7 linked regions of the Macaca fascicularis genome follow. The protein of the gene in region 6 interacts with the protein of the main gene of each other region in a biochemical or structural test. Links are inferred from orthologs where the notes say so. Each region holds a gene or a part of one and is shown on either strand. Other genes may lie near its edges. The genes, in order: POLH, TRIM28, POLI, RFC1, REV1, PCNA and DNMT1.

What was found.
Region 1: the proteins of PCNA (region 6) and POLH form a complex in vitro, tested with the Homo sapiens proteins (7 studies listed by BioGRID). The link is inferred for Macaca fascicularis from reciprocal best matches to the Homo sapiens genes PCNA and POLH.
Region 2: the proteins of PCNA (region 6) and TRIM28 form a complex in vitro, tested with the Homo sapiens proteins (2 studies listed by BioGRID, with this or other methods). The link is inferred for Macaca fascicularis from reciprocal best matches to the Homo sapiens genes PCNA and TRIM28.
Region 3: the proteins of PCNA (region 6) and POLI form a complex in vitro, tested with the Homo sapiens proteins (4 studies listed by BioGRID, with this or other methods). The link is inferred for Macaca fascicularis from reciprocal best matches to the Homo sapiens genes PCNA and POLI.
Region 4: the proteins of PCNA (region 6) and RFC1 form a complex in vitro, tested with the Homo sapiens proteins (5 studies listed by BioGRID, with this or other methods). The link is inferred for Macaca fascicularis from reciprocal best matches to the Homo sapiens genes PCNA and RFC1.
Region 5: the proteins of PCNA (region 6) and REV1 form a complex in vitro, tested with the Homo sapiens proteins (2 studies listed by BioGRID, with this or other methods). The link is inferred for Macaca fascicularis from reciprocal best matches to the Homo sapiens genes PCNA and REV1.
Region 7: the proteins of PCNA (region 6) and DNMT1 form a complex in vitro, tested with the Homo sapiens proteins (3 studies listed by BioGRID, with this or other methods). The link is inferred for Macaca fascicularis from reciprocal best matches to the Homo sapiens genes PCNA and DNMT1.

The regions. Positions count from the first base shown.
Region 1 is NC_088378.1:127,933,547-127,937,344, reverse strand, and holds part of POLH (DNA polymerase eta), read left to right. Parts: intron 1-1,481; coding exon 1,482-1,699; exon of another isoform or gene 1,700-1,828; coding exon of another isoform or gene 1,829-1,862; intron 1,863-3,798. UniProt on the Homo sapiens protein: DNA polymerase specifically involved in the DNA repair by translesion synthesis (TLS). Due to low processivity on both damaged and normal DNA, cooperates with the heterotetrameric (REV3L, REV7, POLD2 and POLD3) POLZ complex for complete bypass of DNA lesions.
Region 2 is NC_088393.1:66,277,418-66,281,944, reverse strand, and holds the start of TRIM28 (transcription intermediary factor 1-beta), read right to left. Parts: upstream 2,956-4,527; 5' UTR 2,661-2,955; coding exon 2,321-2,660; intron 1,997-2,320; coding exon 1,884-1,996; intron 1,658-1,883; coding exon 1,525-1,657; intron 87-1,524; coding exon 1-86. UniProt on the Homo sapiens protein: Nuclear corepressor for KRAB domain-containing zinc finger proteins (KRAB-ZFPs).
Region 3 is NC_088392.1:35,312,742-35,316,539, forward strand, and holds part of POLI (DNA polymerase iota), read right to left. Parts: intron 2,622-3,798; coding exon 2,491-2,621; intron 1-2,490. UniProt on the Homo sapiens protein: Error-prone DNA polymerase specifically involved in DNA repair. Plays an important role in translesion synthesis, where the normal high-fidelity DNA polymerases cannot proceed and DNA synthesis stalls. Favors Hoogsteen base-pairing in the active site.
Region 4 is NC_088379.1:38,580,208-38,584,005, forward strand, and holds part of RFC1 (replication factor C subunit 1), read right to left. Parts: intron 1,924-3,798; coding exon 1,778-1,923; intron 1-1,777. UniProt on the Homo sapiens protein: Subunit of the replication factor C (RFC) complex which acts during elongation of primed DNA templates by DNA polymerases delta and epsilon, and is necessary for ATP-dependent loading of proliferating cell nuclear antigen (PCNA) onto primed DNA.
Region 5 is NC_088387.1:3,902,905-3,906,702, forward strand, and holds part of REV1 (DNA repair protein REV1), read right to left. Parts: intron 1,903-3,798; coding exon 1,800-1,902; intron 255-1,799; coding exon 89-254; intron 1-88. UniProt on the Homo sapiens protein: Deoxycytidyl transferase involved in DNA repair. Transfers a dCMP residue from dCTP to the 3'-end of a DNA primer in a template-dependent reaction.
Region 6 is NC_088384.1:82,160,783-82,165,103, reverse strand, and holds the start of PCNA (proliferating cell nuclear antigen), read right to left. Parts: upstream 2,991-4,321; 5' UTR 2,831-2,990; coding exon 2,610-2,830; intron 1,898-2,609; coding exon 1,800-1,897; intron 1,709-1,799; coding exon 1,641-1,708; intron 375-1,640; coding exon 180-374; intron 1-179. UniProt on the Homo sapiens protein: Auxiliary protein of DNA polymerase delta and epsilon, is involved in the control of eukaryotic DNA replication by increasing the polymerase's processibility during elongation of the leading strand.
Region 7 is NC_088393.1:10,680,295-10,684,081, forward strand, and holds the end of DNMT1 (DNA (cytosine-5)-methyltransferase 1), read right to left. Parts: intron 3,554-3,787; coding exon 3,387-3,553; intron 3,116-3,386; coding exon 2,999-3,115; intron 1,576-2,998; coding exon 1,485-1,575; intron 994-1,484; coding exon 959-993; 3' UTR 638-958; downstream 1-637. UniProt on the Homo sapiens protein: Methylates CpG residues. Preferentially methylates hemimethylated DNA. Associates with DNA replication sites in S phase maintaining the methylation pattern in the newly synthesized strand, that is essential for epigenetic inheritance.

The sequences.
Region 1 (3,798 bases), on a different chromosome or scaffold from region 6:
TATGCCACCATGCCAGCTAATTTTGTATTTTTAGTAGAAACGGGGTTTCTCCATGTTGGTCAGGCTGGTCTTGAACTCCTGACCTCAGGTGATCCACCCACCTCTGCCTTCCAAAGTGCTGGGATTACAGGTGTGAGCCGCCGTGCTTGGTCTTGCTCTTTATTTTCTTTGAGGCCTGTCTTCTTCCTGGCTCAAATAATGATTAAAAAAAAAAAAAAAAAGTCAAGTGTTTCTCTAATTTGAGAATGTTTTAGAACAATGATTATACTGGTTTTTATGGGTGTCATGGTGAAGAGGTACCAGTGTTTTCATTTTTATGGTAAATGTAAATTCAATAGGAACAAAGAACTGGACACTACAAAGCAGGTCCAAACCAAAGCAAAGAAAATATCTGTATAGTGGCCGGGTGCGGTGGCTCATGCCTGTAATCCCAGCACTTTGGGAGGCCAAGATGGGAGGATCACCTGAGGTCAGGAATTTGAGATCAGCCTGGCCAACATGGTGAAACCCCATCTCTACTAAAAATATTAAAAAATTAGCCGGGCATGGTGGCAGGCGCCTGTAATCCCAGCTACTTGGGAGGCTGAGGCAGGAGAATCGCTTGAACCCAGGAGGCAGTGGTTGCAGTGGGGCCAGATCCCGCTATTGCACTCCAGCATGGGGGACAGGAGCGAGACTTCATCTCAAAAAAAAAAGAAAAGAACAAAATATCTGTATATTGTCACAGAAAACTAGCTATACAGGCAGAAGAGCTGCTTATTAAAGTTTGAATAGAAGACATATGGTGAGATTGGTATGTATACCCTGAGGACGGTTGTCTGCCCACCCAGACATATCACCACATTCTAGGTGCTTATCTTCGGTTTGATAATTTGAATATTAGTATATCCATAAATGGTTGGTTAAGGCATGTGTGTGTATGTGGTGATGACCAGTTTACATGTTAACCAAACTCACCGTTGACTGAAGTATAAAATCCATATGCCAGTTTGTTAATTTATGGTGAGAAATATTATCCTGGGGAAGACCATATGCTCTGGTTCACTGATCAGTGCAGTGTTCCATGTAAATCACCCTTTTTTTTTTTTTTGAGACAAAATTAGAAGCAGAAGATTTCTTGGTGGATATATGAAAATAAAAAGAATAGGTGATCACAGTAATACACAAATGTGAGGCATTTCTTTATTTTTTATAGAGTTCCTTGTCATATAGACGTGTTCATAGTCTGAATGCTTTCTACCTTGGTAGTTCTGGCATTGTGCTAAAAATATTTGCCTCCGTGGTTCTTCCTTTTCCATGCTTCTATTATTGACCATCTGCCTGCCTGTTGACCCTTTCAGTTACTACTTTCTAGTCTCTGTTAAGCCACATGTCTCTTGATTATGTATATTATTGTTCATTATGGCAGGGTGGGAGTGGAGCAGACAATCTCAAGGTTGCCTCTGTTTATTGCCTGCATGAATGATCCTTACACTTCTTAGGTACCGGGAAGCCAGTGTTGAAGTGATGGAGATAATGTCGCGTTTTGCTGTGATTGAACGTGCCAGCATTGATGAGGCTTACGTAGATCTGACCAGTTCTGTACAAGAGAGACTACAAAAGCTACAAGGTCAGCCTATCTCAGCAGACTTGTTGCCAAGCACTTACATTGAAGGGTTGCCCCAAGGCCCTACAACAGCAGAAGAGACTGTTCAGAAAGGTACTTCCATAACATCATATTGCTTCTGCTTCCTGCCTTTGGAACCTGCTTTGCTTGGTCATGCTGATTCTCCATGGAATAATTGAAAGGAAACTTAAACTACAGCCTGAATGAATCACAAGGACTTACATGGAAGCATATACAAATTTTCTTATCTTTCCAGGTATATGGCTGTTGAGAAGCTGTGAAATCTGTATGAAAGTAAATTTCTCTTTTAGATGTAACTAGGGCAGGTTAGTGTTATCAGTAGAAGGCAGAGGCCTGGCGCGGTGGTTCACGCCTGTAACCCCAGCACTTTGGGAGGCTGAAGTGGGTGGATCATGAGGTCAGGAGTTCAAGACCAACCTGGCAGCATGGTGAAACCCCATCTCTACTAAAATGCAAAAATTAGCTGGGCATGGTGGTGCGTGCCTGTAATCTGCTACTCAGGAGGCTGAGGCAGGAGAATTGCTTGAACCAGGACCCAGGAGGCAGAGGTTACGGTGAGCTGAGATCTCACCACTGCACTCCAGCCTAGGCTACAGAGGGAGACTCCATCTCAAAAAACAAAAAAATCACTAGAAGGCTGACTAAGCACTTTGTCATTGGTGGCTTAATTTTTATTATTGTAACTTAGTGTCTTGGTTAACTAATATATAAGAAGGGTGAGCTTTTTAAAGGGGGACCTCAGGTATAGGGAGTTGAGTGATTCAAAATTTCTACTCACTTCATAGCACATTATTACATGGGCTGCACAAGGCCCTTCTCATTGTATTTTGCTACTTTTACCCTTCATAGTGATTTTCCCACTCCCTCTGTACCCCCCTCACCCTCTTGTACCCACTGATATACTTGATATATCTTAGATGTGTATATATCTCTTCTCTTCTCTTCTCTATTTTGAGATGGAACGTCACTCTCGCCCTGGCTGGAGTGCAGTGGCACGATCTCAGCTCACTGCAACCTCCGCCTGCACGGTTCAAGCAGTTCTCCTGCCTCAGCCTCCGGAGTATTTGGGATTATAGGCATGTACCGCCAAGCCCGGCTAATTTTTGTATTTTTCATAGAGACGGAGTTTCATCATGTTGACCAGGCAGATCTCGAACTCCTGACCTCAAATGATCCACCCGCCTCGGCCTCCCAAAGTGCTGGGATTACAGGCGTAAGCCACCGCACCCGGCCTATATCTTTATAAGTTACCCAGTATTGCTTTGTATATGTGCTTTTTAATTACAAGATGATTTTGTGCTATTAATAGATCTCATTCTTTTTCTTAATTTTCCCTCAGTAGTGACCTTAGAGATCTCTCCATGTGGCTGTATTTATTTGTAATTGCTGGCTTCGATGGCTGTTACTTGCAGCATAATCCATGATATGGACCCACCATGTTTACAGACCATTTTCCCTGGTGACAAATTCATTGATTGCTTCTAATGTCCTACTGTAACAGTTTACATTCCTCCTAGGAGTACATAAAAGTTCCTGTTTCCCCCATATTCTCAACAACTCATATCATCTAATGTTTAAAAATAGGCCGGGCGCGGTGGCTCAAGCCTGTAATCCCAGCACTTTGGGAGGCCGAGACGGGCGGATCATGAGGTCAGGAGATTGAGACCATCCTGGCTAACACGGTGAAACCCCGTCTCTACTAAAAAAATACAAAAAACTAGCCGGGCGAGGTGGCGGGCGCCTGTAGTCCCAGCTACTCAGGAGGCTGAGGCAGGAGAATGGCGTGAACCTGGGAGGCGGAGCTTGCAGTGAGCCGAGATCGTGCCACTACACTCCAGCCTGGGCGACAGAGTGAGACTCCGTCTTAAAAAAAAAAAAAAAAAAATTTGCTGGCCAGGCGCAGTGGCTCATGCCTGTAATCCCAGCACTTTGGGAGGCTGAGGCAGGTGAATCACGAGGTCAGGAGATTGAGACCATCCTGGCTAACATGGTGAAACCCCGTCTCTATTAAAAATACAAAAAAATTAGCCTGGTGTGGTGGTGGGCGCCCGTAGTCCCAGCTACTTGGGAGGCTGAGGCAGGAGAGTGGCATGAACCCAGGAGGCGGAGCTTGCAGTGAGCTGAGATCGCGCCACTGCACTCCAGCCTGGACGATAGAGCGAGACTCTGTC
Region 2 (4,527 bases), on a different chromosome or scaffold from region 6:
ACAGCTCTCACAAAACAGCACAAGGGGTTCATGCTTGTGTACGTTGCAATAGACGGTACGTTCACCATCCCGAGACTTGGCTGGCCCTGGGGAGTCGGAATCATAAGGCTGGACCTTGCCCTTCACCACCCCCAACTCAGGAAGCAGACTAAGTTGGGGCCTCATTTCCTGCCCATTCTGTGACACTGGGCCATTTATTGGGAAGATGTAGAGGGTGTGGCCAGCGAAGAACACAGGCCTGCAAGCCCAATTCCTTGCTCCCAGAAACCTCTGCCCCAACATAGCTGAGAAACACATCCCTTTCTTCTAGCTTCTAGAGGTGACACAAAGGTAAAGGTAAGGACAGCCTCCGGAAAAAGAGGACTACCCCCCCACACACACTGTTCCCTTTATTCTCCAAGTGGACATATTCAGAATTCTGCCTACAAACCACCCTGGACTCCTTTTCTTCTCCTTTCATGGTTAACTTCCTCCCTCTTTCGTGACAAGAAAACACCAGGGTCTCTTACAACCCAAGAGCCCAGAGAAAACCTGTAGAGGTTCTCATACTGGGAGAGATAAAATGTCAAACTAGGACCCTCAGAATGGTGGTCACACCCCCTCTAGACCAGGAGCTTGGTGCTCAGCATAATTCCACCCCAAGACCAACACATTAATAACCTTCAAAGCCTGCTTCCCCATTAGAAAACCGATTAAGCATAGTGGTCCAACATACCAACCAAATCCAAAATACGTAGCATCAGGGCTCACTGGGGAAACTGACTTCCCCAGTGCCACCATTCCTGCACCCTGACCTTTGCTTGGGACGTCTGGAATGTAGGACACCCTGCAGCCCCTGCCTATCCCTCCTGGCTCCTCAGGCCCCACAGCCGCCACTTTCCCACTATCTTCCACCAATGCTGGCCTCTGGGATGGGAAGAATCACGGTATGGCTACCAAAAGGCCACTCATGGGAGGATTTTGGCCCAAAAACTGGGCTACACTCAAAAGACTCTCAAGCTCCTTTCCAAATCAAAGCTAGCGAGTGTCTGCGAAAAGCTGGAAATGCCAAACCAAACTCCGGGTAAGTCTCTGCCAACTCAAAAGCTAAAACGTTTCCAGAAATCACCATCACTTATAACCCATGGACCCACAAAGTCTCATTTTCCCTAACAGCGTCTTATACCAGATGTGTGCCAGGGAACCACAAACCCAGTAAGCCCTTCACACCATGCCTTTCCCTGTTTGCATATTCTGAGCCCTTCAACACCAGGACTGAGAACTCCCTGATAAGCTTCCTCAAACCCTCTGTACCTCCCTGCAGCACATTAAGGTCTCCACGTCTCCCCTTCCCACCCCCTCCCACCTAAGCCCTAGAGACTACACACCACAACCACAATTTTCCTGCTTTTGGAGTTCTGCTCTCCGGCCCTTCGGGCGGCACCCCCTGGACAACTCTAGGACCCATCCACCAAATGCAACCAACATTATAAAAGCAACTGAGGGCACACACGGGAAAGCAACAGCCCCCTCAGCCTCACGTACCAGTAGAGCGCACAGTGTGATCCTTGGTGTACTTCACCCGCTGGTGCGCCTCTACACAGGTCTCACACAGAGGCTCCGAGCACTCCACACAGTAGCTGGTAGCTGGGGCATTATCCTCACAGCTAGTGCAGCACTGCCAGACAAAGGCAGGGTCAGAGAAAGCAAGACAACTTGCTAGATCCACATCTACACCTCAGAAAATACAACCCAAGATTAAGATTGGTCCCTTGACCCAGCCTAGACAGCCCACCCAGAGCCTTGGGAAAGTCGAGTAACAGCCTGGGAGCTGGTGTCAAGCTCCTCCTGGGCAGATGCCCCCTCCCCAGAAACCTCCCTGTGGTTGCTGCGGTTGGACGCACCTGGTTAGCATCCTGGGCGTCGGTGGCAGCCTTGCTGCCACTATCACGCATGAAATAATTCTCCACGATGTCTTTGGAGAAGCACTGTTGCTTGCACACGGGACAGTCCACCACTTCAAGAGGCAGGGATGTGGGAGACTGTTACAAGTTCCCACCCAAGTTATGGCCCCCCGCATCCCCGTGCTGGGTGGGCCCCCGACCATTACCCCGCAGCGAGCCAGCCCCTCCCCTCCCCGAGCCCTTTCTCCAACTTTAGTCAGATGTCTCATCTCAGCGGCCAGCTCAAACCCACGTTCCTATGCAGGACCCAGAAAGTACTCCCCGTGCACTGTCCGGGCCCCCATCCTCTTGCCCAGGTGGCATCCTCATCTCTGCACCCAGTGGGAATCAAAGGCAGAGAGTAGGGGGAGGGGTGGCCCCGATCACTTCGTACTTACCGGCGCCGTCGCCCGCAGCCCCGCCGTCCCCGGAGCTGTTGGCGGCGGCGGGCGCCGCGGGCCCTAGGCAGGCACTACAGGCCGAGTGCAAACAGGGCAGCAGGCGGGGCTCCCTCTCGGGTCGCAGGCGCTCTCTGCACACGCCGCAGTGCTCCAGCAGCTCCAGCGCCTCGGCGCCGCCCCCCGCGGGCGACGACACCGAGGCCGAGGCCGAGGCCGAGGCCGCGGTCGAAGAAGCGGTGGAGCGCTTTTCGCCGCCAGCGGAGCTCTCGCCCGGGCCCGGGCTGCCAGAGGCGGCCGAGGCCGCTGCTGCCGAGGCTGCCGCCGCCGAGGCCGCCATTCACACGCCGCCGGGGGCGCCCAGGGGGGAGGAGGGGCGCGGGGCCCGCCGCGCAGGCGCAGACGCGCTCGCCGCCAACTGCTGGGCCGCCGCCGCCGCCGCGAGGCCGAGCACCGCCACGCGCCTCCTGGGCCGCTGCCCGCCGCGCGCGGGACGCTGCTGCGGCACCGCCAACTGCTGCCTGCTCGCCTCCCGAAGGCGCCGCCCGCGCTTCTTCCTCAGCCGCCGCCGAAACCCTCACCACGCGCCACAAGCACAAGCACAACCGCTCGCCCGCGCGCCCGCTCGCAGAAAGAGCCGAGGCCGGGGGGCGGGACAGAAATAACTGGCGCCGACGCCGCCGCGCACGCGCATTGGGCGCCGCACGCCCGGGGGCGGGGCCCAGGCCGGTCGGGGCGGGAGAGGCTGCCAGTACGCACGCGCCCACTCCGGGTCCTTCCACCACGGCCAACCCCACGTCGGTGGGGTCTTGTGGGGGCGGGGCGGTCCCTCTGTGACGTCACTGCCGCAATTTAATCCGCCAGTGGGGTGTGCGCACCTTTATAGAGTGTGATTCCCCTCTCAGCTCCACCTCCAGACCACACCGAAGCGGGCCGCTGTGCGCCCAAGCGCATGGGCAGTCCGTAACTCTTCCTCAACCCGCGTCTTTTCGCTCGCGTAGAGTCGTCTCCAGCCTCTGCGTCACTAAGCGTTCGGGATAGGGGGCAGGGCCAATGGAGAAGTAGGCGGGGCCAAGACGGAGTAAAGGGCTGTGCCCCGGGAGAGGGGAGGACAGGCTCCATCCCAGGAGGGAGGAAGCGCCTGTGTGAGAGCAGGGGCTGACTTTTGAATTTTAACCACGTTATAGTTAAACTTGAGAAACACAGAAAGTTGCCTAAATCAAATGTAGATCACAGACGGGCGCCGTGGCTCATACCTGTAATCCCACCATTTTCTTAGGCGAATCGGGAGGCTCCGTTTAGCCCAGGAGGCCGGGGCAGCAGTGAGCCGGGATTGTGCCACTGCACGCCAGCCTAGACAACAGATCGAAAAAAATGTGGCCGGGCGCGGCGGCTCACGCCTTTAATCCCAGCACTTTGGGAGGTCGAGGCGGGTCGATCACCTGAGGTCGGGAGTTCGAGACCAGCCTGGGCAACATGGTGAAACCCCGTCTCTACTAAAAATACAAAAATTAGCCGGGCGTGGTGGCGGGCGCCTGTACTCCCAGCTACTCGGGAGGCTGAGGCAGGAGAATCGCTTGAACCCGGAAGGCGAAGGTTGTAGTGAGCCGAGATCGTGCCATTGCACTACAGCCTGGGAGAAAAGAGCGAAACTCCATCTCAAAAGAAGAAATCTTTTTGTGTTTGTTTTGAGACGGAGTTTTGCTCTGTTGCCCAGGCTGGAGTGCAGTGGCGCGATCTCGGCTCACTGCAACCTCTGCCTCCCGGGTTCAAGCAATTATCCTGCCTCAGCCTCCTGAGTAGCTGGGATTACAGACATCCGCCTCCACACGCCCGACTATTTTTTGTATTTTTAGTAGAGACTGACTTTCACCACTTTGGCCAGGCTGGTCTCCAACTCCCCACCTCAGGTGATCAACCCGCCTCGACCTCCCAAAGAGCTGGAATTACAGGTGTCAGCCACCACGCCGGCCCCCCTACCGCCCGCCGCAAAAACACACACACAAACTATAAATCACAAGAGGCTACAGAGCAATGAGTCTATGAAATCCCATCCAGCCCCCCAGGCGTCCCGTCCGCATGATTTAGTCAGTGGCTACCCTGACTTTGATGCTTTTCCAGATGGGGAAACTGAACCTCAACAGTGGGGAATCCCCAGGAGGGAAGGAAGCGGGTCCGTGTGGGGAGAATCCTGTCTGAGGAGGAAA
Region 3 (3,798 bases), on a different chromosome or scaffold from region 6:
TCTTTGCCCATGCTTATGTCCTGAATGGTATTGTCTAGGTTTTCTTCTAGGGTTTTTATGATTTCAGGTCTAACATTTAAGTCTTTAATCCATCTTGAGTTAAATTTTGTGTAAGGTGTAAGGAAGGGATCCAGTTTTAGCTTTCTACATAAGGCTAGCCAGTTTTCCCAGCACCATTTATTATATAGGGAATCCTTTCTCCATTTCTTGTTTTTGTCAGGTTTGTCAAAGATCATCAGATAGTTGTAGATGTGTGGTTATTTCTGAGGCCTCTGTTCTGTTCCATTGGTCTATACATCTGTTTTGGTACCAGCACCATGCTGTTTTGGTTACTGTAGCCTTGCAGTATAATTTGAAGTAAGGTAGTGTGATGCCTCCAGCTTTGTTCTTTTTGCTTAGGATTGTGTTGGCTATGTGGGCTTTTTTGGTTCCATATGAAATTTAAAGTATTTTTTTCCAATTCTGTGAAGAAAGTCAGTGGTAGCTTGATGGGGATAGCACTAAATCTATAAATTACTTTGGGCAGTATGGGAAAATGGCCTAAATATTTTAAGTCCTTTCCAACCCATACACTTATCCACTGGCAGAGGCAGACAGCTTCCAGACTGTAGTGTTTGAGCAGAACCTTTGCCAAACATTGGCTAACCATGAAACTATACAGACATGGGCAACTTCCCAGAAGTCCATATTAAAATAAAAATTTGAATTAAAAAAAAAAAAAAAAAAAAAGAACACTGAGCAGAGAAATCAGTGGCTACAGAACCCAGGGGAGGTAGATTCTGCAGATTACGTTCAGACAAGTTACCTAAAAAAAAGTACAGGAAAGAAAAAAAAAACCCTACAAGAAAAAATTTTAAATCCACAGTTGCTACAATACATTATCTATGAGGTCTAGTTTTCAATAAAATAGTTCAAAACATGCAAAGAAACAGGAAAGTGTGATACATATTTGGGGGAAAAAGCAGTTAACATAAATTGACTTTGAGGTGGACTTAGCAAAGACTTCAAATTCATTATTATAGATATATCCAAAGAATTAAAGACAACCATGTTTAAAGAATTAAAGCAAAATATAATGAGTACAAAAAAAGGAGAATCTCGATAAAGAAACAAAACCAAACATAAAAACAAAAGACAAACAGAAATTCTAGAGTTAAAAAGCACAGTAACCAAAACCAACAAATCACTACAGGGGCAATGGCAGTTATGAGATACAGATGAATCAGAGACCTTAAAGGCAGCTCAATACAGATTATCTACTTTGTAAGAAAGAACAGAAAAAAAAGATTGCAGAAAAATAAACAGAGCAGCAGAGACCATCATAGGGTGGAATCGGTGTAAGGATAAACATATAGACCAATGAAACAAGAAAGTCAGGAAATAAACTCTTACATTTATGGTCAATTAATTTTTGACAAAGATGCCATGGTAATTCAGTGGGTGAAGAAAAATCTTCAACAAATGATGCAGGAACAACTGGATACCCACATGCAAAGCAAAGAATTAAGTCCCTTACCATATACCACACATAAAAAATTAACTCAAAATGGACATAAACATAAAGCTTAAAAACTATAAAACTTCTAAAAGAAAACAGAATATGTGACCTCTGAGTTAGGCAAAGAATTTTTACATATAACACCAAAAACACTATCCATAAAAGAAAAACCACACTACTATATACCGCTAGAACAACTATAATCGAAGAGACTGACAATACAAATATTGGCAAAAATATGAAAAACTGGAACCTTCATATATTGTTGATGAAAATGTAAATTATTACATGAACTTTGGAAAAAGTTGGCAGTTTCTTAAACAGTTCATGTTCCCATATGATCCAGCAATTCCACTCCTTAAAATCTACCCAAGATAAAGGAAAACATATGCATATGCCCATCCAATGACTTGCACTTAAATGTTCTTCAAAATGGAAACAATCTAAATGCCCATAAAGACTCATGCTATCAGTTATCACAGTTTTGTTCTCTTTGAACTTGGAAAACATTCTTAAATGACTCTTATCTATTTAAAAACCAGGCCAGGTCCAGTGGTTCATGCCCATAATCCGAGCACTGTGGGAGGCTGAGGCAGAAAGATTGCTTGAGCTCAGGAGTTTGAGACCTTGTCTATCCTAAATGTCAAAAAAAGTTAGCCAGGTCTGGTAGCATGCACCTACGGTCCCAGCTACCCGGGAGGCTGGGGTAGAAGAATTGTTTGAGCCGGGGAGACGAAGGCTGCAGTGAGCTATCACAGCACCACTGCACTTCAGCCTTCGTGCAGAGCAAGACCCTGTCTCAAAAAATAAATAAATAAACAAACAAACAAACAACAAAGTTTTCTGGTGAAAATTCCTGATAGAATAAAAGCATTTAATTGCTTGCTAATTCCCTGTGAAGACCCTCCATTTTTGGAGCATATTTCTAGTTCAAAGTTGGCTTGTTTAAGAGTTCAACCTGCTAATGAAACTGTTGGAAAACTAGTCCATACCTGTCCCTAACTTCTGAATTATATGTGATGGAATAGGGCACTGACGACTCTCACGACCACAGTGCTTCTCAGAGGGATATCGACGGATTATTAATCTTACTGTATGAGGCTTCCTTCCATCTTGGCATACTCTAAAAATAAAGAGAAAGTGGAAATAAGGAATTAGAAAAGTATTACCTTTTTAAATTATATAACACCTCATTTATCTAAAGGTGCCAGATTTTGTTAAATATAACAATTATACATATAGTAGATAACAAAATAGTAAGCAATAAAGGTCCCTGAGTATCCAAATAATCATCACAAAGTCTATGCACTAAAACTCTGAATGTTTAGATGTCAAGCTCTCAGGCCTCACTCAGAATTGAGTGCTGTCAGAAATAGAAGAGATATAAGATATAATCAAAACAAGTTGTTTTATAATACAAATTCAAAACAAAACTAAAAGCAACCAATTTTTTTTTTCAAGATGGAATCTCGCTCTGTTGCCCAGGCTGGAGTGTAGTGGCACAATCTCAGCTCACTGCAACCTCCAATTCCCAGGTTCAAGCAGTTTTCCTGCCTCAACCTCCTGAGTAGCTTGGACTACAGGCACGTGTGACCACACCTGGCTAATTTTTGTATTTTTAGTAGAGAGGTGGTTTTGCCATGTTGGCCAGGCTGCTCTCGAACTCCTGACCTCAGGTGATCCCCCACCTCAGCCTCCCAAAATGCTGGGATTACAGACGTAAGTCACCACACCTAGCCAAAAGGCAGCAAATTAAAATCAGCAGGAAATTTAAGAAACTGAATCATTCACTAACAAAAGCAAGTAAGTGAAAAATAACAAAATAACTTTTTTCAAACTTTTTTCTTATGAGATTACCAAAAAAAAGATTTTTTTTTTTACAAAATGAGATTACTCTTGTTAAAGAGTAATCACTATTACCATTATATGATAGCTTATTAGAGCAATATCTTCAAAGATCATATGCTATATTTAGTATATAATTAATATACAATATGTGCACATGCATTTTTAAAAAGAGTTTCATCCAATTGTCTTGGTTTTGGTATTGAAACAAAGGTTTTAATTATATGACAAATTCACTTAAGAAGTACAAAACCTAATTAATGGAAAAAAAGTCATTAAAGGATAACATTTCCCCTTTTATACACATGGCAACGCATATAAAACCAAATCTCAGACATAAAATGCAAATATTGCATATTGTTAAACACACTCAACTTGAAGACTCTGATCTGAAAAAAACAGTTTTGGGCCAGGCACGGTGGCTTATACCTGTAATCTCAACACTTTGGGAAGTT
Region 4 (3,798 bases), on a different chromosome or scaffold from region 6:
CTTAAATGTTGTCACTTCTTAAAGACAGAAAGCTACTGAACAAAACAATATTTCAAATGCCACCATCCTAAATCTTTCCAACCCAGCTGCCTCTATCTTCAAACCAGGCAATTATATGCATACATATTTTTATTTATTTATTTATTTATTTATTTATTTATTTATTTATTTTCAGACAAAGTCTTGCTCTTGTTGCCCAGGCTGGAGTGCAGTGGCACAATTTCAGCTCACTGCAACCTCCGCCTTCTAGGTTCAGGAGGCTCTCCTGCCTTTAGCCTCCCGAGTAGCTGGGATTACAGGCGCCCGCTACCACAACCAGCTACTTTTTTTTGTATTTTTAGTAGAGACAGGGTTTCACCATGTTACCCAGGCTGGTCTCAAACTCCTGACAGGCGATCCGCCCGCCTTGGCCTCCCAAAGTGCTGGGATTACAGACGTAAGCCACTGCGCCCAGTCTGTATACATATTTTAAACAAGCAACCTCAAAAGCTGTTGGTATCAGAACCAGCATCAGAAGCAGAAAGAAATGATTCTTTACAAATTATCTATGGGTCCTGCTCCTGCCTTCAAGGAACTGAATGTGTGAACCACAAGAAGCCACAGCTTTTCTCCTGATCAGAAATCTAGACTCACCCTCGCAACTATTACCTAGACAAAGAGTTTTTAACACTCTCCTATTTCAATTTCATCCATTTCCTCTACATTGTCTTCCATAATTAAGCACGCTAGTACTTAAAGGAAGTAGTGTGGGTCCCTGAACCACAGTACCCCCAAAAATCATGAAACCATTTCCAAAATTGTTCTCCTACAATGTTTACAGTATCATCATTTTCTAGTAGACTCATAGAAAAGTCAAAGATACCATTTAGGGTACCTAAAGCAAGGGTTCTTAACCTCAGGAATCTGTAATTCCCCAAAAGTGTTTTCTTTGTGGATCTATGCATTGTCGGGGGAATAAAAATCTCAAAAGCACCTATGACCCCCAAAAAGGTTACGAACCAATAATAAGATCACACTTGCATTTTTTAAAGAAGAGAAACAGACCTACAAAAAAGTTCAGTGACTTGATCAGGGTTAAAAAGTAGGGAGGTCTTAATTTACTTTACAAATTGTGAATTCACTATAATGCAGAGATCACACTACTGCATTCCAGCCTGGGTGACAGAGTGTGACCCTGTCTCAAAAAAGAAGAAGAATCCATAATATTTATGTGTACGCACATTTTCCAAGTTTCTAAAGTTCAACAAAATTGTACCAAATGCAAGTATTTTTTAACTTCCTTAAACTTTTTCAAGCACGTTCGTTTTCAGTGATGTGAGCAGCCTCCTCCTGTTGCATGCTAAACTGTTATTTCCAATCCCACATGACTAGGTCAGTTTACTACTAGAGAAAATTGGTAAAAAACAGTTTGTTTCTTTAAATAGTTCAATTATTTTCCAATTAATTATTCTGAAGCTGGGAAGCTATTCCCACTAGTAATAGACATAATAACAATAACAGTGCCATCTCAGACTTCTGTAGTCTTTAAAATTTTAAATTATGACATCTACCATTTTATTCTCCAAAGTATCCTTTTAAGTGGTAAAACAAGAGTTATACTGATTATACATGATAAAACTCAGCCCATAAAATATAAGGAACTTATCCAGGATCATTCATCTAGTTAGCAATAAAATAAAAACTAAAACACAAATCTTTTGACTCACATGATTGTTACTGGATAAAGGCCAAATACATCAAATCGATAAAATACCCGAAACAGAGTAATCCCACCTACCTGAGACTCATATGCAAGGCCAGGTCCTGAACAATACGATCGTGTTTGCCTGTAGACGAGTGCTTCCCCAGCCAGCTCGGGAAGGTGGGAAACTGGGTCATGAACCCTCTCATCAACTCTCCAGGAAGAACACTGGCATAAATGGCCTGAAAAAAATCAATTGCAGTCCAGAATTTATGTTTGGTACAAAGTTACTTCCTTAACAGTCATTGGCTTCCGAACAGTCTATGGAAGATAAAGCAACACTGTCCCAAATACCTACCTACGGGCCAGTCAGATGCTTTCTCTAACTCTGATCTGTTGGTACGGGAAACTTCTCCCAAAGAAAACAACAGACTGTGGTACACACCTTGATCCTAGGTGTTATGGCTCACAGGGAGATCATCTCGCCAACTCAGCCTCCTCAAGCAACTAATCTCAACAGACCAGTTACCTCACAACGTCACAGCAAATAATTACTTAAGAGGGATATGATGGTCTTTAACATAAATGATTGACAGCATAGGCAGATTAAAGCATAGAAAGACGAATGATTAGAGTCCATTAAACTGGCACTTGAGAAAAGTTTTTTAAAAATGTATCCTTAGATGTCTTCTATGTCTAGTGTGTTCACTTTCTTAAAGACTGGAATTATAGTCTACATAAATTTTGTATACTACTTATTCTAGTAATTCCCTCACAAGCATTTTTTCCTATTAGACAATCTTTGCAAATAGTTTTAAAGGCTATAAATACTTCCTCAAGAGAATTCATCATCATCATTCTCCTGCTGCTAGACCTGGAGATTTTCTCTTTTTGTTATCAGAACACTTTTGGAAGTATTTTTGTACATTAAGGTTTTCCTGTGTTAAAACATTATGCCTTTGAGGTACAATTATTAAGTAAACAAAACTAAACACATAAAATATAAAAGAAAATATTTTGGGCCAGGTGCAGTGGCTCATGCCAGTAACCCCAGCACTTTGGGAGATGGGCAGACAACTTGCGCCCAGGAGTTCAAGACCAGTCCGGCCAACATGGTGAAACCCCGCCTCAACAAAAATAACAAAAATTAGCTGGCATGGTGGCGCACACCTATAGTCCCAGCTACTTGCAGGGCTGAGGCGGGAGGATTGCTTGAGCCCAGGAGGTCAGGGCTGCAGTGAGCCGTGATCACACCACTGCACTGCAGTCTAGGTGACAGAGTGAGACCTTGTCTCAAAAATAAAAATAAAAAGTTCTGTGTCTCCAGAATGAAATTTTGTTTCTTGTTTTCAAGCAATGTGTGGGTAGAATCAAGAAAAGCATTAGGCCTTCTGGAAGTGTCTTGCTTATTTTATTACTCAGGCCAATAATCCTGTATAACTATACAAAAGTCAAAAAGAACAAATAACTCTCTTAATTACAAATGTCTACCAAATTCTGTTTTGAGTTAAAGATCTCAACCTAAATACAGTACCCAATATAAAACTGCTTTTTTAGCAAGGAAGACGAAAATCTGAATGAATGCCTCAGAGATGCGGCTGCTGGCCTGCCCTAGCTGCACTGCTTCTAGGAGCCGCTACTCAGTGACCACCTGGGAGAGCCAAGAGTGACCAAAAATAAAAAAACAAGGATTCTTAAGTTAAAACGCAGCAAATAAAACTTCTGATTCACATCTTACAACCAAAATCTAACATTCCTATTTCTATGTATCCATTTACATTAAAATTTTTTGAAATATAGATAAATAAGGCCAGATTGGGCTGAGCGCAGTGGCTCATGCCTGTAATCCCAGCACTTTGGGAGGTCGAGGCAGGCAGATCACAAGGTCAGGAGATCGAGACCATCCTGGCTAACACGGTGAAACCCCGTCGATACCAAAAATACAAAAAATTAGCTGAGCATTGCGGCAGGCGCCTGTAGTCTCAGCTCCTCAGGAGGCTGAAGCACAAGAATGGCATGAACCCAGGAGGTGGAGCTTGTAGTGAACTGAGATCGCACCCCTGCACTCCAGCCTGGGCAACAGAGCGAGACTCTGTCTCAAAAAAAAAAAAAGAAAA
Region 5 (3,798 bases), on a different chromosome or scaffold from region 6:
ATAAAGCTGTGTCAAGTTTAAAACCAACTGCCGTCTTTCCAAGGACATAAGCAGCACCTAAACGAGAACCCCACTGATGACCACCAACCTTCTTTGTGCTCCTCTTCTGTGGATTTCTTAGCTTTCTGAACTTGGAAGATATCACGGACAGAGTATGACCCACCAGGAAAGTGGCTCGACTGAACTGATGGGCGACTGGGACATGTGGAAGGGTTCAGATTAGTTGGAACCAACTGATTCACGTGAATCCCAACCTAGAACCCAGAATAAAGAGTATGCTTCCAGGAAAACTAAAGTAAAATATGAATTCAGCTAAGCAAAATCCTCAGCAAATCCTTTTCACTACCTCCTAGATCCTGTTTCTAGAATAAAGGTAAATGAAAGTATTCAAACAACAGCATTCTATATGAGTTATTACAAAAACAGTTTCTAGACTAGCTAGTGAGTGGTCATTCATCTCAAACTTCAGAGTATCCAATTCTCCCAAAATATACCAAAACGTCTTTAAAATCAGAAAATCCAAACAAGTGGAATACTGTATTTCACTGATGTTCTGGTCAACTAAGGTTTTAAATTAGGATAAAAAAAAAATTAAGAGAGGACAGGCTACTTGGAAACTTAACTATTTTTATCTTTTTAAAATGAAATACTTCTCAAAAAATACTGGTGGGACTGGTGAACAGCAGGCACACCACAGACCCCTCTATAAAGTGCCACTGTAACAGTATTTCAGGGAGAAATTACAATTATGGCCGGCTTAGTGACTAATCCTTCAACAAAGTCCACAATCAAGCCAGAACAACCCTTAACTTACACACGCACACAATAAACTAAACCTACAAAGGTTCTTTTTTTTTTTTTCCTCTTTTGAGACACAGCCTCATTGTGTCACCCAGGCTGGAGTGCAATGGCATGATCTTGGCTCATGCAAGCTCTGTCTCTTGGGTTCAAGTGATTCTCCTGCCTCAGCCTCCCGAGTAGATGGGACTATAACAGCATGTACCACAACACCCGGCTAATTTTTGTATTTTTAGTAGAGATGGGGGCCAGACACAGTGGCTCATGCCTGTAATCCCAACACTTTGAGAGGCCGAAGCGGGCGGATCACCTGAGGTCAGGAGTTTGAGACCAGCCTGGCCAACATGGTGAAACTTCGTCTCTAAAAATACAAAAGGGCGTGGTAGCGGGTGCCTGTACCCACAGCTACTCGGGAGACTGAGGAAGGAGAACTGCTTGAACCCAGGAGGTGGAGGTTGCAGTGAGCTGAGATCGCGTCACTGTACTCCAGCCTGGGCAACAGGGCAAAAACTCCGTCTCAAAAAAAAAAAAAAAAAAACCCACACAAAAAATCTATGGTTTTGACATTTTGATGCCTCTTGCCTGTTTCAAAGGCATCTTGTTGTGCCTGTGGTTTCACTCCCTTCTAGGTCATCATATGGCAGACAGCAGAGTATGTTTCTGATTAAAAAGGAACTTAAAGGCACAAAATTTATGTATTCATACTCCTCAGTCATATCTACTTCTAGGAAACAAGAACAGGGAGGACATGTATATTAGCCCCTGGTTAATTAGGGATACCTTGGAAAAGCACAGTAAGAATCTGAGAAAATTATTCTAAAATGAAGAAGATCAAAATGGAGAAAGTCAAGAATTTTTGTTTCTCTTTTCCTTATATCACAAAGCAGCTAAAGACCTACATATAAAGTCCCTATATGCCAGCAATAACCATTCTGAGAGCAAGCCTCAAATGACACAAAAATTACAGAAAGTCAGAATTTACAATGTTACTATACACTTACCCCTCTCATGTCTGATATATTTAGTTTCATTGTATGAAACATGTTTAGCATCGCCTTTCCAATTATTTTTGCATTATCTGTTGCCTGGTCAAGAGTTACAGTCCTGTAAGTGATAGAATTATACAACAAAAGCTTCATTCCATATGTATTCACTAGTACTAAAGTAGTATGGAACGGTTTAAAAGAGTTACAGAAAAGTTGTAAACAGTTACAAAGATTATAAAAGTGAATGCCACAGTCCCCCTTCCAGGAAGCCAGAAATACCAAATTAGTTACACTGGCAAAGAAGGGGGAAAGGAAAATTATGGAACACTGGAACTTCAAGGTAATAACGATAACGGACACCTGGGTCAACTACAAATCAGTTGAGAAATTTAGAAAAAGGCATAATTTAGCTAACACATGCACAAATGAATACATATTTTCCAGCTAAAGCACAAATGAATGGTAAACACAATGTTCTTGATTCCAAGAGAAGTTTTAGGTTCCAAGATTATGTATGCTGAGGTACAGCAAATATTCAGAAGAGAAAGATGAATTCTCGGTATGTTGTTTCTTGACTCTCCTTCGTGTTTACAGTAAAGCCAATAAACAATTCTTAGATCTTTAAGAACTCTTGAGAGAGGACCAAATGATCCGTCAGCATTACTTGGTCCCAAAGATGTGATGACCTCACCCACCATTTCCTTCAGAGCTGTTTGAGCTTCTCTGGCATGAGCAGGGTGTCCCATTACAAACAGAATTACTCACTCAGTAACAGATCACAAATTACTACCAGTTCTCTTTCCAAAGGAAAGTTATTTCGTGTTTTAGATTAATGAACAAATGAAGTTCCAGGCCTTTAAACAAGAAATAGTCCCAGAAAAAAAATACTATAAATTGAATCTGATTTTCCCATAGAAATGTTTAAGAAGACAATCGCATTACTTCATCTGCTTATAGAAATGACCACTAAAAACTGGGCACAGTGGCTTACACCTGTAATCCCAAAACGTTGGGAGGTCAAGGCAAAAGGATTGTTCAAGGCCAGGCCTGGGCAACAGGGCAAGATCCTATCTCTACATAAATAAGTTTTTAAATAAATAAATGACCACTATTTACTATTTGAGATACATGTATATATCGTAACACTTCAGTAAATATAATTCAAGATAACCAACTGATAAAAAATGTATTTCATAAATCATGTTGTCTAATTGTAATTTGTAATTCCTGCTTTCATGGTAACTTGGGAGTTTCTCTGTTTAAGAGCCGTCATCTCATGACTTAGCAATATCATCATATACATGAATGCACCATGTATGGTTGGCATGAGCTAATCTTCAATGAAACTGTACTTCATAGTTCCTTATAAGTAGCTTTCAAAAGTGTCAAAAGCCTCAAAACTTTGGTTTCACAGATGACATACAGTCTAACATAAAATGACACATAAAACCACATATCTTCATATTGGTCACAAATCTTTCATGAAGTTTAATATTAAGTAGTTGGCCCTGACATAAAAAACGAGGGTTTCAGTCCAGGTACATTGGCTCACACCTGTAATCCGAACACTATGGAAAGCTGAGGTGGGCGGATCATTTGAAGTCAAGAGTTGAAGATCAGCCTTGCCAACATAGTGAAACCCTATGTCTACTGAAAATACAAAAATTCGCTGGGCATGGTGGCATGCCCCGTAATCCCAGCTACCCAAGAGGCTGAGACAGGAGGATCGCTTGAACCCAGGAGGCGGAAGTTGCAGTGAGATCAGATCGCGCCACTGCCCTCAGGCCTGGGTGACAGAGTCAGAATCCATCTCAACAGAAACAAAAACAAAAAAACCCAGGTTTTTAAATGCTTTCACCAGTTTTCAGACATTACAGTGATTCACTCATCTTTTTACCAATTACATTTATACACCTATGTAAATGGAATTGCTCTCCTTCACCAGCATTTTTCTAGCTACTATTAGCCTGCCTTTGTGTATCGTTTTTTTTTTTGAGACAAAATCTCACTCTTG
Region 6 (4,321 bases):
CTTGCAAATATAATTCTAAATTGGATGACACTTACAAATCAGTTGCAGATTTCAACAGTATCTCAATTTTCAGAAATTACTTGGGATCCAATTCTGTCTACTTTTAATTTTAGCAATTAACCTAATAAGCAGTATTACAATTCTCTTCAAACTATTTTTTTTACTTAAAAACTACTTACAGCTTCCTCCTCTTTATCGACATTACTTGTCTGTGACAATTTAATGTTTCCATTTCCAAGTTCTCCACTTGCAGAAAATTTCACGCCGTCTTTTGCACAGGAAATTACAACAGCATCTCCAATATGGCTGAGATCTCGGCATATACGTGCAAATTCACCAGAAGGCATCTTTACTACACAGCTGTACTCTTGTTCCTATTAAGAACAAAAATTTTCCAAAAGTTAATTGTTAGAAATTTAATGATTTGGCACCCTCACTTTCTTAAAAGGCAACATCTAAACAACTCAGAATCAAGATTTTCTGATTACTGACTCGTGTAATTTCTTAACAAACTCCACTCAAAAAAAATAAATGGCTATTAAATGCACTGCCCAGGGAACAAGCGCCTCCTCCTCCTCATCCTCCAGGGATAAAGTAAGAGAACATTAGAGTATGCCACAGAAATGATGACGGCGCAAGCAGGTCTAACTATTTTCTAAAAGAAAACGAGAGAATATGATATTAGGCATTTTCAACATTCCAACATTTCTTCTCTCCTTTGGTGTTTATAAACCTAACCTGGATACATTTCTTCTAAGATAGCTTTCAAACCCACTTAATAAAAACCAAGCATCGGGCCGGGCGCGGTGGCTCAAGCCTGTAATCCCAGCACTTTGGAAGGCCGAGACAGGCGGATCACAAGGTCAGGAGATCGAGACCATCCTGGCTAACCTGGTGAAACCCCGTCTCTACTAAAAAATACAAAAAAAAAAAAAAAAAAAAAAACTAGCCGGGCGAGGTGGTGGGCGCCTGTAGTCCCAGCTACTCGGGAAGCTGAGGCAGGAGAATGGCGTAAACCTGGGTGGCGGAGCTTGCAGTGAGCTGAGATCTGGCCACAGCACTCCAGCCTGGGCGACAGAGCGATACTCCGCCTCAAAAACAAAACAAAACAAAACAAAACCAACCATCCTAGAAGGAAGCAAATTTTAAAAGAGGTTCATGGAAATTAATGCAAATAGACAACTGGCAGTAAACAATAAATTTAACCAGTGAGTTTTAGACTTGTGGTAAACAACTATCCAAATACTAAAATCTCTTTAAAACATGCACCAGTAGATATGTTTCTAGAAAAAGTTCTGTTATGAAGTAGGCTTAAATTATATTAACTTATCTTGACGGAGGAGGATCATTGAGGCCAGGAGTTCCAGACCAGCCTGGGCAAGACTGCCCCCACACCCACACACAAAAATAAAAAAATTAGCCAGGCGTGGTGGGACAGATCTGTAGTCCTTCCTAGCCACTTAGGAGACTAAGTGGATTGCTTGAGCCCAGGAGTCCCAGGTTACAGTGAGCTATATGGCACCACTGCACTCCAGCCTGGGGAAAAGAGGAAGACCCTGTCTGTAAAAATAAACAACATTCTATGACATAACTATCATGCCTGTGTACAGCAGTCGCTACAATCAGAAACTGATACTCACTGGAATTCCAAGTTGTTCAACATCCAAATCCATCAACTTCATTTCATAGTCTGAAACTTTCTCCTGGTCTACCAAAAAAAAGCAAATGCTGTTGAGAAACACTGGCACAGAGTTTCGATCTTCTGTAGCTTCATAACTCAGTAAAAAGGTACGACTTACTGGGTGCTTCAAATACTAGCGCCAAGGTATCCGCATTATCTTCAGCCCTTAGTGTAATGATATCTTCATTGCCGGCGCATTTTAGTATTTTGGACATACTAGAAGACAGGAGACACATGGTTTAAAATCAACACCATCTACTGAAGGTCTGTATTTCTAATGCAGTTAGAAGGGGTTACCACTCTCACCCATAGGCCGTCTCAGAACTGGTGGAGGGTAATTGCACTGCTGGAGGATGCGAATATTAATGCAGACATTTTGGGATGCATCTGGCAGTATTTATACTAAAATACCACCAGCAGTTTCCCTTCTGGATAGAAACAATCTCCTGCCACTAAGTAGGATGACAGGCTGACACTTTTCTCGCAAGGGCACATTATAAAGCATTTAAAGTCAATCGCGACTGAGCCGGGAGGATCGCCTGAGCCCAGAAGTTGGAGACCAGCCCGGGCCAACACATCGAGACCGTCTCGGAAACAAAAAAGCCACAACTAAAGCGTCCATTCAAGGCCAACAGGATTTAGTGAGCAAAAGCTCTGGAGCAGTGTTCCTGGCACTGCAGAAAAACCAGTCATTTTCCCGCCACCACCCGCTTTGTGACTTTGGCGCGAAAAAGCAGGTTCGCGCAGCAGCCAGCGCGGGCTTTTCCGAACCGCGCGCTCAGCTGGGCCCCACCCCCCTGCATGGCAGGCCAATGAGAAGGTGCGGATGGTCCACGCCAGCCAATGAGGGCTCGGCTCGGAAGCGATCCCGCCAAACCCCGGAGGTGGGGGTGGGCCGGGGCCGGTTTCTCGGCGCCGCGAGGCTCACCTGGTGAGGTTCACGCCCATAGCCAGGTTGCGGTCGCAGCGGTAGGTGTCGAAGCCCTCAGACCGCAGGGTGAGCTGCACCAAGGAGACGTGGGACGAGTCCATGCTCTGCAGATTTACGCCGCTGGAGCTAATATCCCAGCAGGCCTCGTTGATGAGGTCCTTGAGGGCCTCCAACACCTTCTTCAGGATGGAGCCCTGGACCAGGCGCGCCTCGAACATGGTGGCGGAGTGGCAGCAACGCGGCTACAGGCAGGCGGGAAGGAGGAAAGTCTAGCCGGTTTCCGCTTCAGGAGCCTCAGAGCGAGCGGGCGAACGTCGTGACGAGAAGCTGAGACCTAGAAACAGAACTACCAGTCTGCTACGCCTGCAACCGTTTAATGCCGCCGCGTCCGCCAGCGCGCGCTCTTACCCTGCGCCGCGTTGCGACGTCACCACGCTGCCCGGCCCACAGCCTGGGCGGGTTAGAATTTAGGGCCAATCGTGCCGATGCTCCCCGCGAGGCCCGCCCCCTAGGACATACATTGGAGGAAGCGGGTGCAGGGCGGGGCAGCGTCCCGCAGGTCTCCCCGCCTCTTCGCCTGACTCCTGAACCTGACCACTGAACAAGTCCGGGCATATGTGGGGATCCGGCCCAGGCCCCGGTTCGTCAAGCCCCAGCTTTATGGTGCCTCCTCAGCCTCCAGCTCCGTGGGTAGAAAGTTTCCAGCCACGAAAGTGAAAGTGAAAAGCAAATCCAGCCTACCGGGAGGAAAAGCCTCCTTGTAGCCTGAAGAGTACAGCTGCTGCAAATATGCACTTTATTTTTCAATTACAGAAGTGATGCGCTCCTAAGTGTCACACCATAAAGAGTTATGTTAAACTTAGCTCCCTCTCACCTCTTAACATTCCACTGCCAGCTCTTATAATCACTCAATCGTTCCTTGTATAAAGCTTTTAAAGCTTTTTTGAAAGTTCGAATACACTTTTTTTTTTCAAAATGCACTCATTCCGTAAACACTTCGAAAAAGTACTTAATAAAGTACATTTAATTTTATGCCACGTACATCTTTTTTATATCAGTACCTCTTTAAAAGATAGCATCACATGTATGTAACTTATCAATCTCCTGTTAATTACAAACACCTTTGAGCACTTAGGCAATTTTGGTGCTATCAACTCCTTGAAGTAATACAGCTGAGTCAAAGAGCGTACACATTTAATTTTTTTTCTTTTCTTTTCTTTCTTTCTTTTTTTTTGAGATGGAGTCCTGCTCTGTCATTCAGGCTGGAGTGCAGTGGCGCGATCTCGGCTCACTGCAACCTCCGCCTCCCAGGTTCAAATGATTCTCCTGCCTCAGCCTCCCAAGTAGCTGGGATTACAGGCGCCTACCACCGCGCCCGACTAATTTTTTTTTTTTTTTTTTTTTTTTTTTTTTTAGTAGAGACGGGGTTTCACCATGTTGGCCAGGCTGGTCTCAAACTCCCGACCTCAGGTGATCACCCGCCTCAGCCTCCCAAAGTGCTGGGATTACAGGCATGTGCCACCATGCCCGGCTAAATTTTTGATAAATGTTACTAAATCTCTAAAAGTTTGCAATTTACATTCTAGCCAAGACTGTGTATGAACATGCTCATTTATCTTTATTTTCCTAACTACAGATATTAGCAATCTCATTTTTTAATCATTGCTCATCTGTGTCAAAAATTCAATTTTTTTTTTTTTGAGACGGAG
Region 7 (3,787 bases), on a different chromosome or scaffold from region 6:
TGAAACATCATCTCTACTAAAAGTACAAAAATTAGCTGGGCGTGGTGATGGGCGGCTGCAATCCCAGCTGCTCAGGAGGCTGAGGCAAGACAATTTCTTGAATCCAGGAGGCAGAGGTTACACTGAACCAAGACTGCCCCACTACACTACAGTCTGAGCAACAGAGCAAGACCCTGTCTCAAAAAAAAAAAAAAAAGAAAAAAGAAAAAAACCCAACTAAAGAAGGGGTTTTGCTTCGGGATAGGGAGGCCGGAGCTCCAAGGGCAGCTCAGTGGTGACTTCTCTCTCCTTGTTCCACCAGTCGCTGCACAGAGCTCTGCCTCATGGTCACAGGATGGCTGCTCTACTGCCAGGCATCACAACCTACTCCAGACCAAAGAAGGGCTACCAGCCATGGGGAAGGCTAGCCAAGACTTCCGTTAAAAGGCTTTCCTGGAAGCTACACTAGCAAGTTCCATTTGCATGTCATGGGGATCAACTCATGTGACTCAGTTCTGAACAAACAGACACACGGAGTGTCTAGCTTCAAACATGTGCTAGCTTCAAACTCCATGTGGGTCGCCTTCAGTGTGGAGGAGCTTGTTCCTGTCTGGCCTCAGCCAGAAGCCCCGTGCAAATCACGAGTCCCCACCCAGGGTGGTTTATAGGAGAGATTTATTTGAAGAAATATTACAACATATAAAAACTACATAAAGTCTTAATTTCCACTCATACAGTGGTAGATTTGATATAATGCATAATAAAAAACTTTTAAAATCCAGAATGCACAAAGTACTGCACAATTTGATCACTAAATCATTAGTTGATAAGCGAACCTCACACAACAGCTTCATGACAGCCAAGGCCACAAACACCATGTACCACACATGTGAACGGACAGATTGACATGTTAAAAACACAACATCAGTGCATGTTGGGGATTCCTGGTGCCAGAAACAGGGGTGACGGGAGGGCAGAACTAGTCCTTAGCAGCTTCCTCCTCCTTTATTTTAGCTGAAGGGAAATAAAAGGAGAAGTCACTCTGGGGAACACGCACGGTATCACGCTACATGACAGGTGAGGAACAGACATGGACCATCAGGAAATGTTAACGTACTGATGTAACAGCTGACCCAGTAAGCGGCAGAGTGCTAAAGGAACATTCATGGAGACTGAACACTCCTCAAAAGGTCCCAGGGGGTTCTAGACCCAGAGGCTCGAGTGAACAGCTGAGGCAGGTGCCTGCTGAGCCAGACTCACTGAACAGGAGTGAGGGAAATGGCCCCAGGGCCAGCCCAGCAGCCAACCTGACCAAAGGCCTGCTGTGTGCAGCGTGCCTGCTCTAAGCACTCGACACGTGCAACTCAGTCCTCACAGCAGCCCCTTCAGAAAGATGGGTGACCCACATGAGGCCCAGAGTCCAGAGCGGTGGCCCGCAGCTGCCCCTGCATGTACCCCCAGAGGGCGCTCAGGCCCCAAAGGAAGCCCAGCCCACCCCACCATACCTGAGGCACTCTCTCGGGCTTTGGCCAACATACAGAGCTTGATCTCCAAGCCAATGGCTTTGGCCAGGGGCGGCGGCACAGCATTGCCCACCTGCGGGAGGGGAGAAGGGCAATGCCTGATGTGGATGGCCAGGCCCGAGGCCCGGGGTCAGGTGTACTGCCGCCCCTGCTCAGACGGAGGACACCCTGGGCATTGCGCCCCTTGGGGAGGGGTTCTGGTCCTGCTCACATGGGCCCAAAGCCCTTCCAGCACAAGGTCCTTGGATCCTCCAACTGGCCCATCGTCCCACCCCACAGCCATAGTTCACTGGGCCTTTGAAGAGCTTCAGAAAGACTTGAGACAAAGACACATGGGGCTGGGTGCGGTGGCTCACGCCTGTAATCCCAGCACTTTGGGAAGCCAAGGCAGGTGGATTAGTTGAGGCCAGGAGTTCAAGACCAGCCTGGCCAACATGGCGAAACCTCGTCTACTAAAAGTACAAAAACTAGCTGGGCATGGTGGCACATGTCTGTAATCCCAGCTACTCAGGAGGCTGAGACAGCAGAATGGCTTGAACCCGGGAGGTGGAGGTTGCAGTGAGCAGAGATGATGTCACTGCACTCCAGCCTGGGTGACAGAGTGAGACTGTCTCAGGAAAAAAAAAAAAGACAAATGGGCTACCTAGACACGTTTCGCTCCCAGCTAAGAGTGGCTGCTTCCCTGGCCGGCGCAGAGGCGCATGCCTATAATCCCAGCACTTTGGGAGGCTGAGGCAGGCGGATCACCTGAGGTCAAGAGTTCGGGACCAGCCTGGCCAACATGGTGAAACCCCGTCTCTACTAAAAATACAAAAATTAGCCCGGTGTGTTGGCACACAACTGTAATCCCAGCTACTCGGGAGTCTGAGGCAGGAGAATCACTTGAAACCAGGGGGGTGTAGGTTGTGGTGAGCTGAGATCATGCCACTTCACTCCAGCATGGGCGAAAGAGCAAAGCTTCATCTTATTTAAAAAAAAAAAAAAAAAAAAAAAAAGGGACTGCTTCCTGAGAACCAGATTCGGCGGGAGGGGTGAAACATGGTTTTCACAAGAACCCTGGACACTGGTTTTTAAGCTATGCATGTGCCCTGTGTTGATGAAAATACACTTAACTAAGACTAACTCATAGACTAACTCGTCAAGTCAGCTGACACCTGAGAAGCAGGTAGGAATTAAGGTGCTAGTTCATTTGAACCTACAGCGAGTGAGCGGTCGCCACCGTGGGTTTTAGCCTGCTCCCTTAGTGTGACGGACTGTCCTTCTGGCTCAGTCTCTGACTCAAAGACAAACAGTAAGGAACCAGCGTAGAGATACAACCTGACTCGGATGTCTCAGCCCTGTCCCTCCTGTGGGCCATCGTCCTACTGCGAGTGCTGGGGCTACCCGGCAGCCAACAGGTGTCCTCTCGGAAGTGACTGTGCTGGCCCCAGTCCCACCCAATGACAGGCACAGAAGCCTCCTTCCTGTCCAGACCCAGTGGGCGCTGCCCCACTGACCTGCCGGTGCTTGTCCAGGATGTTGCCGAAGAGCCGGTAGGTGTCGGGGAAGCCCTGGGAGCGGGCGCACTCCCGCACGCTCACCACGCGGTGCTGCTCGGGGTGGAGCACGCGGCCCTGGGGCAAGAGGCGCAGTGGGTGAGGGTAGTAGCACCCAGGCCAGGTCACCGTGGGGGACAGGGAGGGAAATGGCAACCTGGCAGCGTCCGGCCGTGGCCTTGGCCTACGAGCCTGTCCCATGGACACGGAGTGGGCAGGAGGCAGAGGAGGCCAGGTGCCTGGGGTCCTGGGGTGCTGTCCTCCAGTTGGCTAAGCCCACACCTCCACCCAGTTGGGCCTCCAAGTACAGGGCCTGACACAGGCCCTTGGACACCCCCTCCCCACCTACCTGCTTGCCCATGGGCTCGGGGTTGGTGACGGTTGTGCTGAAGAAGCCGTCCCACTCGAGCCTTCCATAGAGGCCAGCCCAGTGGTTGTGCCGGTTCCCGGTGTGGGGCAGGCACCAGGGGATGAGGGTGTTGAACTGCCTGGCTGCGGGGTCGCAGGCTTTGCCGGCTGGAAGAGAGGACAGTGATGAGGCTGCAGTTACGGGATGGGGTATAGGCTTGGGACAGGGGACAGTGGCTCTTAGAGCTTTGGGAGGCAGAGATGGCACCTCCTGTGCAAGGGGACCCCTGGGGTGGAACAGCCAACAATCCTCATTCTCTGGGGACTGTGTTTGTTATTATTACTATATATTTTTTTGAGACAGAGTCTGGCTCTGTTGCCCAGGCTGGAGTGCAATGGCAT